3 linked regions of the Tribolium castaneum genome follow. The protein of the gene in region 1 interacts with the protein of each later gene in a pairwise test. Links are inferred from orthologs where the notes say so. Each region holds a gene or a part of one and is shown in the gene's direction. Other genes may lie near its edges.

The links.
Region 2: the proteins of centrosomin (region 1) and aurA interact in a two-hybrid assay, tested with the Drosophila melanogaster proteins (2 studies listed by BioGRID). The link is inferred for Tribolium castaneum from reciprocal best matches to the Drosophila melanogaster genes cnn and aurA.
Region 3: the proteins of centrosomin (region 1) and Plp interact in a two-hybrid assay, tested with the Drosophila melanogaster proteins (4 studies listed by BioGRID). The link is inferred for Tribolium castaneum from reciprocal best matches to the Drosophila melanogaster genes cnn and Plp.

What each region holds. Positions count from the first base shown.
Region 1 is NC_087398.1:12,873,763-12,878,068, forward strand, and holds the start of centrosomin, read left to right. Parts: upstream 1-1,505; 5' UTR 1,506-1,660; coding exon 1,661-1,785; intron 1,786-4,306. UniProt on the Drosophila melanogaster protein: Core component of the centrosome throughout spermatogenesis. May participate in mitotic spindle assembly and the mechanics of morphogenesis through an interaction with microtubules, either directly or indirectly. Is a target of several homeotic genes.
Region 2 is NC_087394.1:2,112,392-2,116,599, forward strand, and holds the start of aurA (aurora kinase A), read left to right. Parts: upstream 1-1,386; 5' UTR 1,387-1,471; coding exon 1,472-1,898; intron 1,899-4,112; coding exon 4,113-4,208.
Region 3 is NC_087399.1:2,048,052-2,052,252, forward strand, and holds the start of Plp (pericentrin), read left to right. Parts: upstream 1-1,391; 5' UTR 1,392-1,714; coding exon 1,715-1,738; intron 1,739-1,793; coding exon 1,794-2,705; intron 2,706-2,751; coding exon 2,752-2,879; intron 2,880-2,926; coding exon 2,927-3,383; intron 3,384-3,439; coding exon 3,440-3,556; intron 3,557-4,201. Other genes in the region: facilitated trehalose transporter Tret1, read right to left, coding at 1-459, 509-545.

The sequences.
Region 1 (4,306 bases):
TTACGACGCCTATGGGCATTATTTTATTTAATTCGGAAGTAAAGTTACCGTTGGGGGCGCCACTGAGCTAGGTCGAAAACAGTAACCATAAATGGCGGGAAAATGTTTATTCGGATATTTTGAGCGTTGTACGAATTTTGAGGCTTCACAATTATTACATTGCCAATGCGGAATGACTATTGTATCTTTGGTGGAAGAAACGAATGTTGACAAATTGGAGATGACGAGGAAAACACGAATAATGAATGACTTTTTGGTTCACTTTCTTTATTGAAAAATTATTACAAAGACATTGAAAAGCCCACCTTTTGGCATAATTTACGTTTAAGTGTATTAGCAGTTGTTAATTTTAGTTGTAGTTTTGTTGATTTATCGAAGTATTTCATGATTTTATCAGTGGAAAAATTCTAACCTAAAATTCACAAACTTCACTAATTTATTGGTTTCTTGAGCCCAACTTTGTGTTCGCAGTGATCCATTACTATAGTCTTTAATTAGACAACTGTTTGATAACACTTTGTAATAAAAATTTAAATCTTTTACACTTTTTATCCACTTTCAAATTCCAACAACAAACACTTTATACCACGAAAAACCGCAGAACCAAAGTCAAAGCTAGTATTTACCACCACGTACTTTTAAAGTGATTCTCTCCAATGTAAGCAATTAACACTATACACGCAAAATTGCTCAACAATTTATTAGATGTCAATTAAATGTGGAATTACGAAAATTTCGTTACTGTTTTCGACATAGTTCAAAAGTCATCACCAGAGGGCGTCTAGTTAATTTTATTTCCGAATAGAAAGAACATGTTTAATGCCAAAATTCTGTTACTTTTGGCAATGTCACTTCGCCACCAGATTTGGAATAAGCTCTAAATACAGAAGTGACTGAAATTGAGTGGAAATGAAAATTTACATTAAAATAAATATAAACAGTGATTAAAAGTTATTCACTCTGTTATCAATGTTATCATTATAAATTATCATTATTATCCGAAATTCCCATTTCTATAAACTAGAAACTTTTACTCAGTTTTTTTAAGTAGTAATGAAGTAATAATAAATTAATATTAAAGAATAGGTTGGGAATGGGTTTTTTGATAAAAACTTTGAATCAGAAAAAATTTGTTTAATTTCCTGAAAGTTAAAGTAGGAATCAGTGAATCACGTTGACGATTTTATAGCCACCACTGATTAATTAATAATTAATGATGAAAAGAAAATCTAACGTCATTTCGCTTTAAGAGCTCTTCATACATGCTACAATTTCCCATTAATTTTAAAAATTTATTTTTGCGTAATAAGATGCTCGCCCACGTGTTTTTCCCCCGAAATCGATACACCTCAAACCACAACTTTGGCCAAAACAATCTCTTCCTCGATTTTGTGTCTTTGTCATACACACGGATTAGATTTGAGACATTTTGAGTGTAGTTTGTCGAAACTAGGCAGCGCACGCATGGTCCATCCACGACCTGAGGCTGCGTCAAGCGAATCCAAACATTTCAGTGGAGAAGTGTAGAGAGGATAGAGTGGTGGTAAAGTGCGCCGGTTTGTTGTGACTACGAAAAGTTTATTATTAATTTTAATTTCACGTTTTAAAGTGAGACAAGAAGGGCAAAGAAAAAATGCCCCCTTAAAAATAACTTCGGTTTATGGACGCTCGTAATAGTGGCATAAATTTTCAAGTGCTTGAAATCATGTCGTTCTTTAATTATAGTGGATTTCACAGCCCGCCTTCGAGGCCTTTAATTATTCCGTCCCCTACAAGTCCTTTTTGGTAAGTTTTGCCAAGTGTTTGGCTACTGCTCGGAAATGCTGAGGGGTTGTTGTAGTTTGTAGTGGGTTTAGTCATCGTCTTTGGGATGCGAAGGGGAGGAAAATTCCAGCGCAGGTCAAAACTGAATCAAGTTTTTGATGAGGGTTGAAAAAATCCAATTTGTACCTAATTTGCTAACAAAATAAATTTAATAATGAATAATTATTTAACTATTTATTCTATAATTATGTTTATACAGTGGAACTCCGTGATAACGGACAAGGTTTTTAACGTTTAAAATATATACAAAAGTGGTCTATGAGTCGGTTGTAACGAACACACGTGCATTTTTGTTACATTCTCGGAAATAATAAACATTTCCGATTTGCAACAACATTCCAAATAATCAGAAATCTCTAATTTTGCCACAAAATTTAAAATAATTGTTGGATTACTATTAAACAAGTCTACAAATGGAAATGCGTCTTTTCTAATAAATTAAATTAAATGAAGTTTTTTAGGATAATTTCTATTTTTATTTTTTATTTGTATTTCAAAATCCGTTTTCAAATAGCCAAAAAATAAAATAAAAATTACATCCGATTTCAAAAATTGAAACTTTTTGAGCTTTTAACACAAATGTTAATTTCTGTGGTACAATTTGCTGGCCCCCATGTCGTTGATAACCCTATCACCACCTGAACCCACGGTCTCTTCTATCTGTTCGCCCACATGCCCTCAACTCTGACCCAGATTGAACATCACGTGGAAAAATCAATTGCACGTGCATTTCCACTACCCCGTTTTCACCACTCGACCCGAAAACAGTGCGCTCAACTTTTCAAGTAGGCGATAGCCGCCGACGAATTAATAAACTAAATGAAAATGCCCTTGTCGATATTAACGACACGAACAGAAAGCGCTTTTCTTGGCCATTTACGGATGTCTTTATCAGAAAAAGTTGACATTTTAATGGGGACGTCGAGCAGATGGCACGTTTTCTCGATGCTGAAAGGAAATATTTTTTGTTGTTGAAGGAAATACGAGGCTTATCTGGAGCGATGAGATAATTTATGTGACTTGACTGCATCTGAATTAAAATACGGCTGGCGATGACGCGTTCTGAATGAAATAATATCAGACTGCAGTTTGTTGTAATCGGTTTTCCTACTTTGGGAAAGTTGCGTAAAGTCGTGGGAACAGTCATAGGAAAATAAAGATAAGAATTTACTTTATATGGCGAAGCGAAAAATGCATAATTTATTTTTAAGACAGTTTTACAATTTTAGTACACCTGCACACACACCTTGTAATTTTCATTGTTTACAGTGTACACCTTCGTTCAAATATGGAACCGATTCTTTAATGGCCAATTAAATCATTAACTTGTAATGTTTATACAGTCCCTAGCTCGCATTAAATCAAGAAGTGTTTATTCAGTGCACCTTTGTCTTTATCTTTTCTGTCGGCACGTGTCATTTACCTTCTTTACTTTTTTTTTCATGTTCATTTTAAGATCGTTATTATTTTAGTCTACGTTTTTTACGTAGCTGGATGGGCCTAAAATTAATTATAGTTGTCTTGTCTGTGCTTAGGAAGTGAGATAAAGGGGGCATAAAAACATGGCTGTGTGTAATGGATACTTCAAAGGATCGAGGGTGAGATATTCTACCGCACAAGATGAAAAACTTACATTTAGATTTTGATAAACTGGGATTTGTCTGGTTTTAAAAACAAACACTGCTGCGCCTTTTTTCAATCAACAACAAATTGCATAATCAGTTCAGTCGACAAAACTCATCCAAAATTGTTGTTGCCTCTCATTTATCTCTATTTGCTACTGAACTGTTTCTCCAACAAAGCGGAAGACAAACATCGAGTATCTCTAAGGAAGTTGTATATTAGGGATGTTTTGACTTCAGTTACAAACACGTGTGGTGTTTTGTTCAAATAAATCAGGAAAATTGTGAGCACATATTTGGAAAATGTGAAATAAATATCTCTCAAGGTTTATTATTTAGACACATATTTGCCTAAATTTTCGCCATGTGTAAACTTGAAATTTCAGTCGATTTGTTTTATTATTCTCCACAGTTTGTAACTCAGTCACATTTTATTATGACTAGCCAGAAGTCATAAACCGTCAGGTTGTTCCCTTGTTGGCGTAATAAGAATAAACCCTATTTATCAATTTTGGTTCGGTCAACAAGGGCTTGAGCACAATACTAAATAAATGTAAATGTTTACATTTGTGGATAACGTAATTCAAACTAGAGGAGAGTGATGTTTGTTTATGTTTGATTACGTTAGCGGGCGTTTTCCTGAATTGGCCAGCTGGTGTCGGTGGAACGCGAAACAAGAGAATGTTTTCAAGAAGGATACTTAATCTTTATCGGGGATTAAGTGTTGACTAGAATTACAAAGTGATTAAAGCTTTCTTTGTAAGAGAGGTTATTAAAATAACTCAGGGAAGGGTTGCTACCGCATGTTTATTTTCCTCAAATGGATTACTAAGAAAGATAAGACTGTTTGTTCGAATTTT
Region 2 (4,208 bases), on another chromosome or scaffold:
TAGGATTACGTAATTTGCGATAATATCCAACAAATGTGCTTTGTTGTCCCGATTAGGGAAAAAAATCAGTGATAAGTGGTACAGGGACTTGGAAATAGGCACCAAGTGGGGTCGCTGATGTGGCAATGCCATCTAGGTATATTGTATCAGAATGGCACAAACTACGTAAATTTGTATTACAAGAAAACAAAATAACTTGTTTTTAGATGTTCACACCTTTAATAAATTTTTTTGGTAAAGTTGTCTTTTTCGCCTATTTTTTCTGTGATGTCCGAAAAGGGGTGATCAGGTAATAATCCGTTTTGACCTGATAAGATGCGGTGCCGAATTTCTAGGACTCGAACACGTAAAGAGAGGGTGCCCGGTATTTGGGGATTCAATAGTGCCCAATTTATGCACGCCTGTTATCATAACTCGCCTGTTTTGGTAATAATATTGTCCGATTTTGGGAAATAGAAAATAAAGATGCAATAAATGATAATTTACTGGACACCCTTCACAGAATTCTTGTGAAAAACATTTTAACAAAACACATGGGCGGTTTATGGTTTATGGTTTACGGTCCTTTTAAGCAAACGCCGCCTGATGCGCAAAATAGCTTTAAACCGTTTGTTGTCGGTGGAGAAAAGGAGAGCTAGGGATCATAAACTAAATGAGGGGTACGTACATTTCGTTCATGAAAAATTATTTAAAATTGGAACTCGTAGTAAACGATTCTACCGAAAATTCTTTTCACTTATCACACAGTTGTGTAATTATAATTAATGAAAACAGTGATAGTACCAAGTTGATTGTAGTCTGACTGTTCATGTAAAGCTCTAATAAATTGAGTATAAATGATAATCTGTTAGCAGGCCCGGTAATTCAGCCTGATTTATTTCCGATTTTAATTCAATTTCGGATATATTTTTTAACATTGTTCCGACAACTAAAAGGCCATAATTTTATTTTTGAAAAATGTCTTTTTTATTGTTGAATTGGTGGTCAAAAGGGCATTGTGTGACAAAACCGATTTCGGGGTGAAATGGGGCGATAGTGCATTTGCGGAGCTATAAATATTGAAATTAGGTGAAAAAGTGGGAAAAATTAAGAAGCAATTTGTGGTAAATAATTGAGTTTTTCGCTATTAGCAAAGTGACTTTCTTAAAATGTCATTTTTAAGAGGGTGTTTAGTGTTTTTTCGGATTTTTATTTTATTAAACGGTTTCAAAGCTGACAACCAAACATACATCTACGCAAATTGAAACGTATTTTGCTAGTGTGAAACTGGCTTCATGTTCGGGTTTCTTCGGAATTTCGAGGAGCTGGTTTGGGGAGCTGTCTTCACACAAATTTGTTTTGGGTTTTTCGTGTTGGAGTGTTGGCAGTTGAAAAACCGTTGACTTACGAAGTGACAATTCAAATTCGAACTTATCACAAGTTGAAATTGTGCAAAAGTGTTAAGTCGGAGTGAAGTGTTTTTGTTGTAAATATGTCCCAAAGGAAGGCCCCCGTGTGCCAAAACAAGGAGAACAACGTTCCGCGCGCCGCGGCGAAAAAGGGCCCCCCGGCGCAAAAGGGGGCTCTCTCCGAGAACAAGGCCCAGAAGGGGGCTGCAAGTGACACGGCTCAGGAGAGTTCGAAGGGGCGGCGTTGGACCTTGGCGGACTTCGATATCGGGAAGCCCCTCGGGCGTGGTAAATTCGGAAACGTGTACTTAGCTCGCGAAAAACAGTCGAAATTTGTCGTTGCGCTTAAAGTGCTGTTCAAAAGTGCGATCAAAGACTTCAATAACGAGCACCAAGTGCGGAGGGAAATCGAGATTCAGTCGCACTTGAGACACAACAATATTCTGCGAATGTATGGCTATTTTCACGACGAGTCGAGGGTCTACATAATACTGGAATACGCCCCCAATGGTAAGCCCCCACGTACAGTGGTCCAAACTGCTCAAAACCCGCCAGAAATTGGTGAAATCATTAAATTTCATGTGTTTTATTAACAAAAAAACACATTTAAATTGGGGCTCAATAAACAATGAATGAAAAACAAGAGTTATTCGGAAAAATCTTCTAAAAGAAGAGCCTTCTGAAAGTTGCAAACTAAGCATTTTTGAATGATTTCAGTAAATGGTTGAGAAAGATTTATAAAATTTGTGGGTTAGTTATTACATTAAGTTAAATGGGGAACAAAGTTACTACTAAAAGCTGTCTTAACTAAAATAAAACCATTAACTACTATTTTAAAAAAACGTCTTGAGGTCAATACATTGGATACGGAAAAGTGGCTGACTATTATAAACTAAATAAAAACAATTTAAAACAATAAAATTTGTTTTTTCCATTCCCAAAAAAAAATATTTTCAATGTTGAAAAATCTGGAATGACGAGAGTAAGCTTTGAATTATCAGTGTTAAGAAGACTTTAAACTAAAATTTTTAATTTATGGTGCACTGAATTTGAAGGCAAAAAAATGTTGGTTTTTGTTACCAAATTAAATGAAAATGTATTTTCACTGTTTATTTGTTATGTCAGTAAAACTATTTCGCATTGTTTTGTAATATTATATTATATGAAAGTAGATTTAATTTTTATACTTTTTTTTACGAAATTTATTTTGATAAAACTTTGTAAATCGGTAAAAAAAGTCATGTCATATATACGAGAAATTATTATATTGAAAGTTATTACTAAAGTTCGGATTCCTAGCATTTTGCTAATTAAGCTTTTCTTTTTCAAATGAACCAATTTTCTTAACTTTTATTTGTCAGTTTGGCTAAAAAACTATGCTTTTATGCCAAAAAGCGTTTTTTCTGCTATTTTTATGCTAAGGTTGATAATTCTCAAGTTTTTTCAGTGTTAATATTATATAATAGTTTTAATTTTTCAAACTAATGAACATTTTGAGACGTCTTGGCGAAAAGTTTGACGAATGAAATTCAACAAAGTTGAAAACAGAATTTTTAAAAAATCGTCCTCGAATTTTTTTTGTACTAACAATTTTTTTAATAAAGGTTTGTTTTTGTAAAATATTTGATAAATAAATTTTATTTTGAATAGCACTGAAGTTTTCTTTAAAAAATGAATTAAAAAACTAGTTTTCTCCATTCATTCGAATCAATATTTTCATTGATAAAAAATCTATGGAATGACAACAGAAACACCTAAGCTCGACGTTTTTGTGATTTTATAAAAAAAACAAAAAAAATGGTTTAGACTACAAAGTTGAATGAAAAATTTATATTTATGAGTTTTTTGACATATTATTTATTTGTTGTATTTAAATGTGTAATATTGTGTATAAAAGCAGATTCATTTTTCACTTTTTTATTACTAAATCTATTTTTGTTAGCTATATATTGTTATTATTCTTACTATTATTTTGGGTTTGAAAAAAATCAAGGTGGCTGCGCTATTTAGAATTTAAATAGTCTGTTTTTTGGCATTTATCAAAATCTAACGAAAAAAGGGACCTTTTAACACAAATATTTTTTTTCAATTAAAATTAAAATTTCGAGTTTTTAGTTAAAAAAAAGTGAAAAAGAACATTTTTTTGACCTAATTTTTTCTGGTCGAAGACGTGCTTCATGTTTTCCTAAAAACGAAGAATTTTAAATTTGTTGATAAAAAACTAATTAAAATTAAATAATGTTCATTTTTTTAATTGTCCGCCAGTTAAAGCGAATTCACAACAAAAAAATAAAAAATTAATCGTTAAAAAAAATAAAAAAATTACGTGATTTTAAACATACAGAATTTTAGACAAAAAGGTAAATTTTTACCATAGAAACGTGATTAAAAAATTACCATCTTTTTTGTTTTTTGTAAGTTTGAGCGCATAGAACATGCTTAAACATTCAAAAGAACTCAAGAATAATGTAGTTTTCAACATAAATACCTGTGGGTGATTTTCTAGCCAGTTTGAACAAAATATCGCTAAAAAAATTACGTTGTCTTCCAATTTTTTTGAAGAAAAACATCGCGGTATTTTTGTTCCAATACAGTTTTTTTAGGAATTTTTTGCATCGTTGTTTTAGAAATCAATTAATTAAATTAAAAGAACATTTCGGGGGTGTTTTCCCCACTTTGGACCACTGTGCCCCCACTTTCCACCTTGATAACCCCCCTGTTTAGGCACATGCTACAAGGCGCTGCAAGCAGCCCCCAACAGGCGCTTCCCGGAGGAGACATGCGCCCGCTACATCCGCCAAATTGCGGACGCTCTCAGTT
Region 3 (4,201 bases), on another chromosome or scaffold:
CGGTCAAAAACGGCCCCACGGCGTAGTCGAAAAGCACCCCAGAGGCGATAAACGTCGACATGAGACACCCCAAAGTGCCGCGGTTGCGGTCCTCGGAGATCTCCCCCAGGTACATGGGCATGACTGTGAAGACGCTCCCCGCCCCCACACCCATGACCAAACGCGCGATGTAGTAAAGTACCACCGAATGGGCGAAAGCCATGGTCAGGAATGACGCAATTATGGGCAAAGCCACGATTAGGAGCGTTTTTTTCCGCCCGATTTTATCAACAAAGAGACCGGTTAAAAGTGGGCCGAAAATAGCTCCAAGTGATAGTAAAGACGCGATTAGAGACTCCTCGGAAGGGGTTGGGGGTGGGTCCAGTGGGTTGTTATCGGGGTCCACACTTCCGTTGAGTCTCGGGAGGAGGGGGGACGCCAACCCGTAGGCAAGCCCCACAGTGAACGCAATCAAATTCGCTGGTAAAAAATTGGTTACGTTCGATTATGTGACTATTGGGGGACTTACCCACGCACGCGGTATAGTACAAGTAAAAACTGGACATTTTCGGTTAAATAATGACGCGAAAATTAAATGGGGACATTTATTAAATCGTGTTATCTTTACAAGCAAATCAATGATTTACAATGGTCTAGACGGATCAAGGTATTACAATAGTAATTTTTATTCATAAAAGACGCATATTTGCAGCTCAAATATTTGTTTGGTTATTGCGCAAGTTGTCCGGTTTGAATTTGGTGCGTGAAAATGACAGGTCACTTGACCTACCGGTGAAGATAGCACCATGAACATTATAGTCGACCCACCATACAGCCAAGTTCACACCAAGAAAATTAGCAAAATAATCGTAAATCATAAAAACATCAATAAGCTGTTACGATGACTTGTATATCACATTTGTAGAACATCTCCTGACCATTCAATTAATTTCTGCATTTTTTATTCACATATTCAAGCAATGCAAACTGATTTTTTTCACCCCCTTTTATCCCGCAATTTTCTTTATTTTTCCAGGAGAATAAGCCCTTTGATAGGGCCTTCGACTGTAAAAAAATCATGTTCGGACAAACACCCCTTGGGACCTTAATGAATTTTTAAAGATAAAGTTTACGAAATCGGGAAATTTTAAAGAATTTTTGTCCGAACATGATTTTTTTACAGTCGAAGGGCTTAATCTCCTGCAAAAATAAAGAAAATTGCAGGATATAGAGGGGGTGAAAAAAATCAGTTTGCATTGCTTGAATATGAGAATAAAAAATGCAGAAATAAAACGCAGTTAAATTTTAATTTGTAATAGGAACACATTAGAATGGTCAGGAGATGTTACAGCTTATTGATGTTTTTATAATGATTTACGATTATTTTATTAATTTTCCTGGTGTGACCTTGGCTGTAGAAAAAATCGTGGGTACAGTTGGTCGACTGTAATGTTCATAGTGCCAGATGTCGGCTCAATCGCCCAATTCCTAACCGTAAAATTTTCAAATTGTTTGCTTTTTGAGTGCCGTACTTCGTGTCATTTTGTACAATTAGGTGCCATTTCGTCCCAATTAAATTAAATAAAAATTCTAACGTCCCATTTTCCCAATTTGTCGCCAAACCAATCAATCAAGTCGCCTATAACAACAACAAACAAACTCGAAAATGTCACACTTGACGTTTGTTGCAATTTTATTTATTGTTTAATGGGTTAAAATAAACCTTTGTGGCATAATGGAGGGCGATTCGACCAATCGGGTAAGTGTCTTATTAATAGAACGTGCAATGTGGGCTAAATATAGACTTCGGCCAGGAGGGTGCCCCCCTTGGAGACTCCGGTAGTAGCAGCTTGACTCTGTCCCTAACCCCGCCTTTGTCCGAGACAAGCACGATCTCCGAGCACCTATCAAGCGTCGAAAACGACCGTTCGTTGCCAGAGCTGCTCGTCAATTTCCCCCCAGATGAGAGGATCTCACTGGAGCCCAAACCGCCATCCCTTAGTGATAGTTACACGAGTAGTTTCGTTAGTCTAAACGGGCTAGAGCGCTTCATTAGTACAAACATGGAGGGGCGGACACACGCTCAAAGCATCCTCGAGGAAATCCTAAGTAACGACCAGTTCAAGTCCGATTCCGACGAAAGCTTGAACATTTTCGCCAACGTGGACCTCGACGACAAACTCCTAAACAGTTACAACGCCGGCAAAAGCGTCAATTTCGACCTAAACGACGAGGTTTGCAAACGAGTCAAAGACTTTGAGGATTTGATCGCAGTCAAAAACACCACTATTGCCGCCCTAACTTCCGAACTCGACTCATTTCGCGAATTGTTGAGCAACACGTCGAGTCTGGGGACCACCACCACCGAGTACAAACAGTTCCAAGAGGAATGCCATAATAAGTTAGTCGAGTACCGCGACGCTATTGTACATAGAGACGAACAAATCGAAAAATTGACCAGTTCGTTACAACAGGCGATTTTAAATCGCGAAGAAATGAAACAACACTTTAGGAGCGAAATCGCGCAGTTGCAAGAACAGCTGGAAAAAACCTCAAACTTGCTCAAGGACCACAAAAAATCGTTTGACTTTGACGAGATTTGCGCGCAGTTTGAGCACAGTTTGGGGCCCCCACAGTTGGCGCCTTTCGGCGAGTTGAAGGCGGCGTTCGCTAGTTACGTGGAGATGAGCAAAAGGGCGCTCGAGAACGAGATTAGCAATCTGAAGGTTTGGTCAAGTCACAAAGTGATAATTTTTTAATGTGTGTTTTTAGACCAAGTTTAGTTCGGATAAAGCCCAGTGTGAGAGCGAGATTAAGAGCGAGTTGGACGCCAAACATTCGAAGGAAATGGAGGAGTTGCGGACCTACTTTGAGAAGAAATGCGCCGATTTGGAGAAAAAGTTTGTTTGATTTTGTAAAAAAATTTGTCGTAATTTTGCAATTTTAGTTACTCGGAGGAGGTGTTCAGTCAGCAGAGCCGCAAAATGTCCGAATCGAGTTCGTGTTCCGAGCTCAGTTCGGACTTTGTGGGGCCAGGGGGCGACACTAGAGTTGACTACACAAGGAAGGATTTGGTTAAATTGCGCCAGAGTTTGGTTCAGTTGATTAAAATTTTCGATGGTTTCAATTTGGAGGATTTGTCCGATTCCGATTTTGAGCGTCTCACGTCCGAAATTGGCAAATTTGAGTTTCGGAATTTGCTCAAGTTCGATTTAAGTCTCATGAAGAGTGAGCTGCAGAATAAGTATCACGCTGAATTGGAGATTTTGAGGGAGGATTACGATAATCGTGTCGATGAGTTAAACGTTGAGCATGAGAAGAAATTGAAGAGTTTGAACGAGGAAATTGACGATCTTAATCGGCAGTTGAGGGGTCGGATTGTTACGACTAGTCAACAGGAAGTTGTAAGTTTTGTGTTGGTTCTAATTGTGTTTTTGTGTACTAACTGCATGACTGTTAGGCGAATTCGGGCGAGTTTGAGATTGATGAAGTGGTGCAAAGCTATGAGAGACGGTTGCAAGAACAAGTCACTCTAGCTAAAATTGACATCATTGCTGCGTTAGAATTGCAGATACAGGTAGGTCGAGGGTTGTGTGTTGGGAGTACGGACTCGAAACCAAGTACAAAATCGCTCCAAATCGTTTTAAATTAGTCAAAAGACTGAAAAAAACTGACGACTAAAAATTATGGTTAAATAATGGTTAAAAATACAACAAAAATGTTAGAAAAAAATTGTAGAGTTAAATTCCTTACAAAAAATTCTACGAGACCAAGCCGATTTTAACAAAATATTTGACATCTTTACACTTAAAATTTTAAAACAGAGCTTGATTATTGACGAAATGTGGTTTTGCGGCTTATTTTGACGGAATTTTGCTCAAAAAACAGCTAAATCGGGATAAATTAACAACAATTTCAATTTATTTTGTGATTTTTAGCTGTGTTTTCAAAAGTTCTTGCAAAATAAATCAGTCTCAACCTAAAGAAGATAAGATAACATTTATTTCGAACTAATTCTGTAATTACTCATGCAATTTTACGTAAATTTTTCGAAAAAAATTGTTAGTTTCTCAAAGGCTAAAATAACATGACTTTTCGGCCTGTTTTTAATGAACTTTTCTGGAAAAAAGTGCGTTTTTGACTGGATAACGTGCCTGGAAAAGCCAAAAATAAGATAATTTTGGATTTAAATTGGTGATTTTTCGGTTCATTTCGGCGAAAT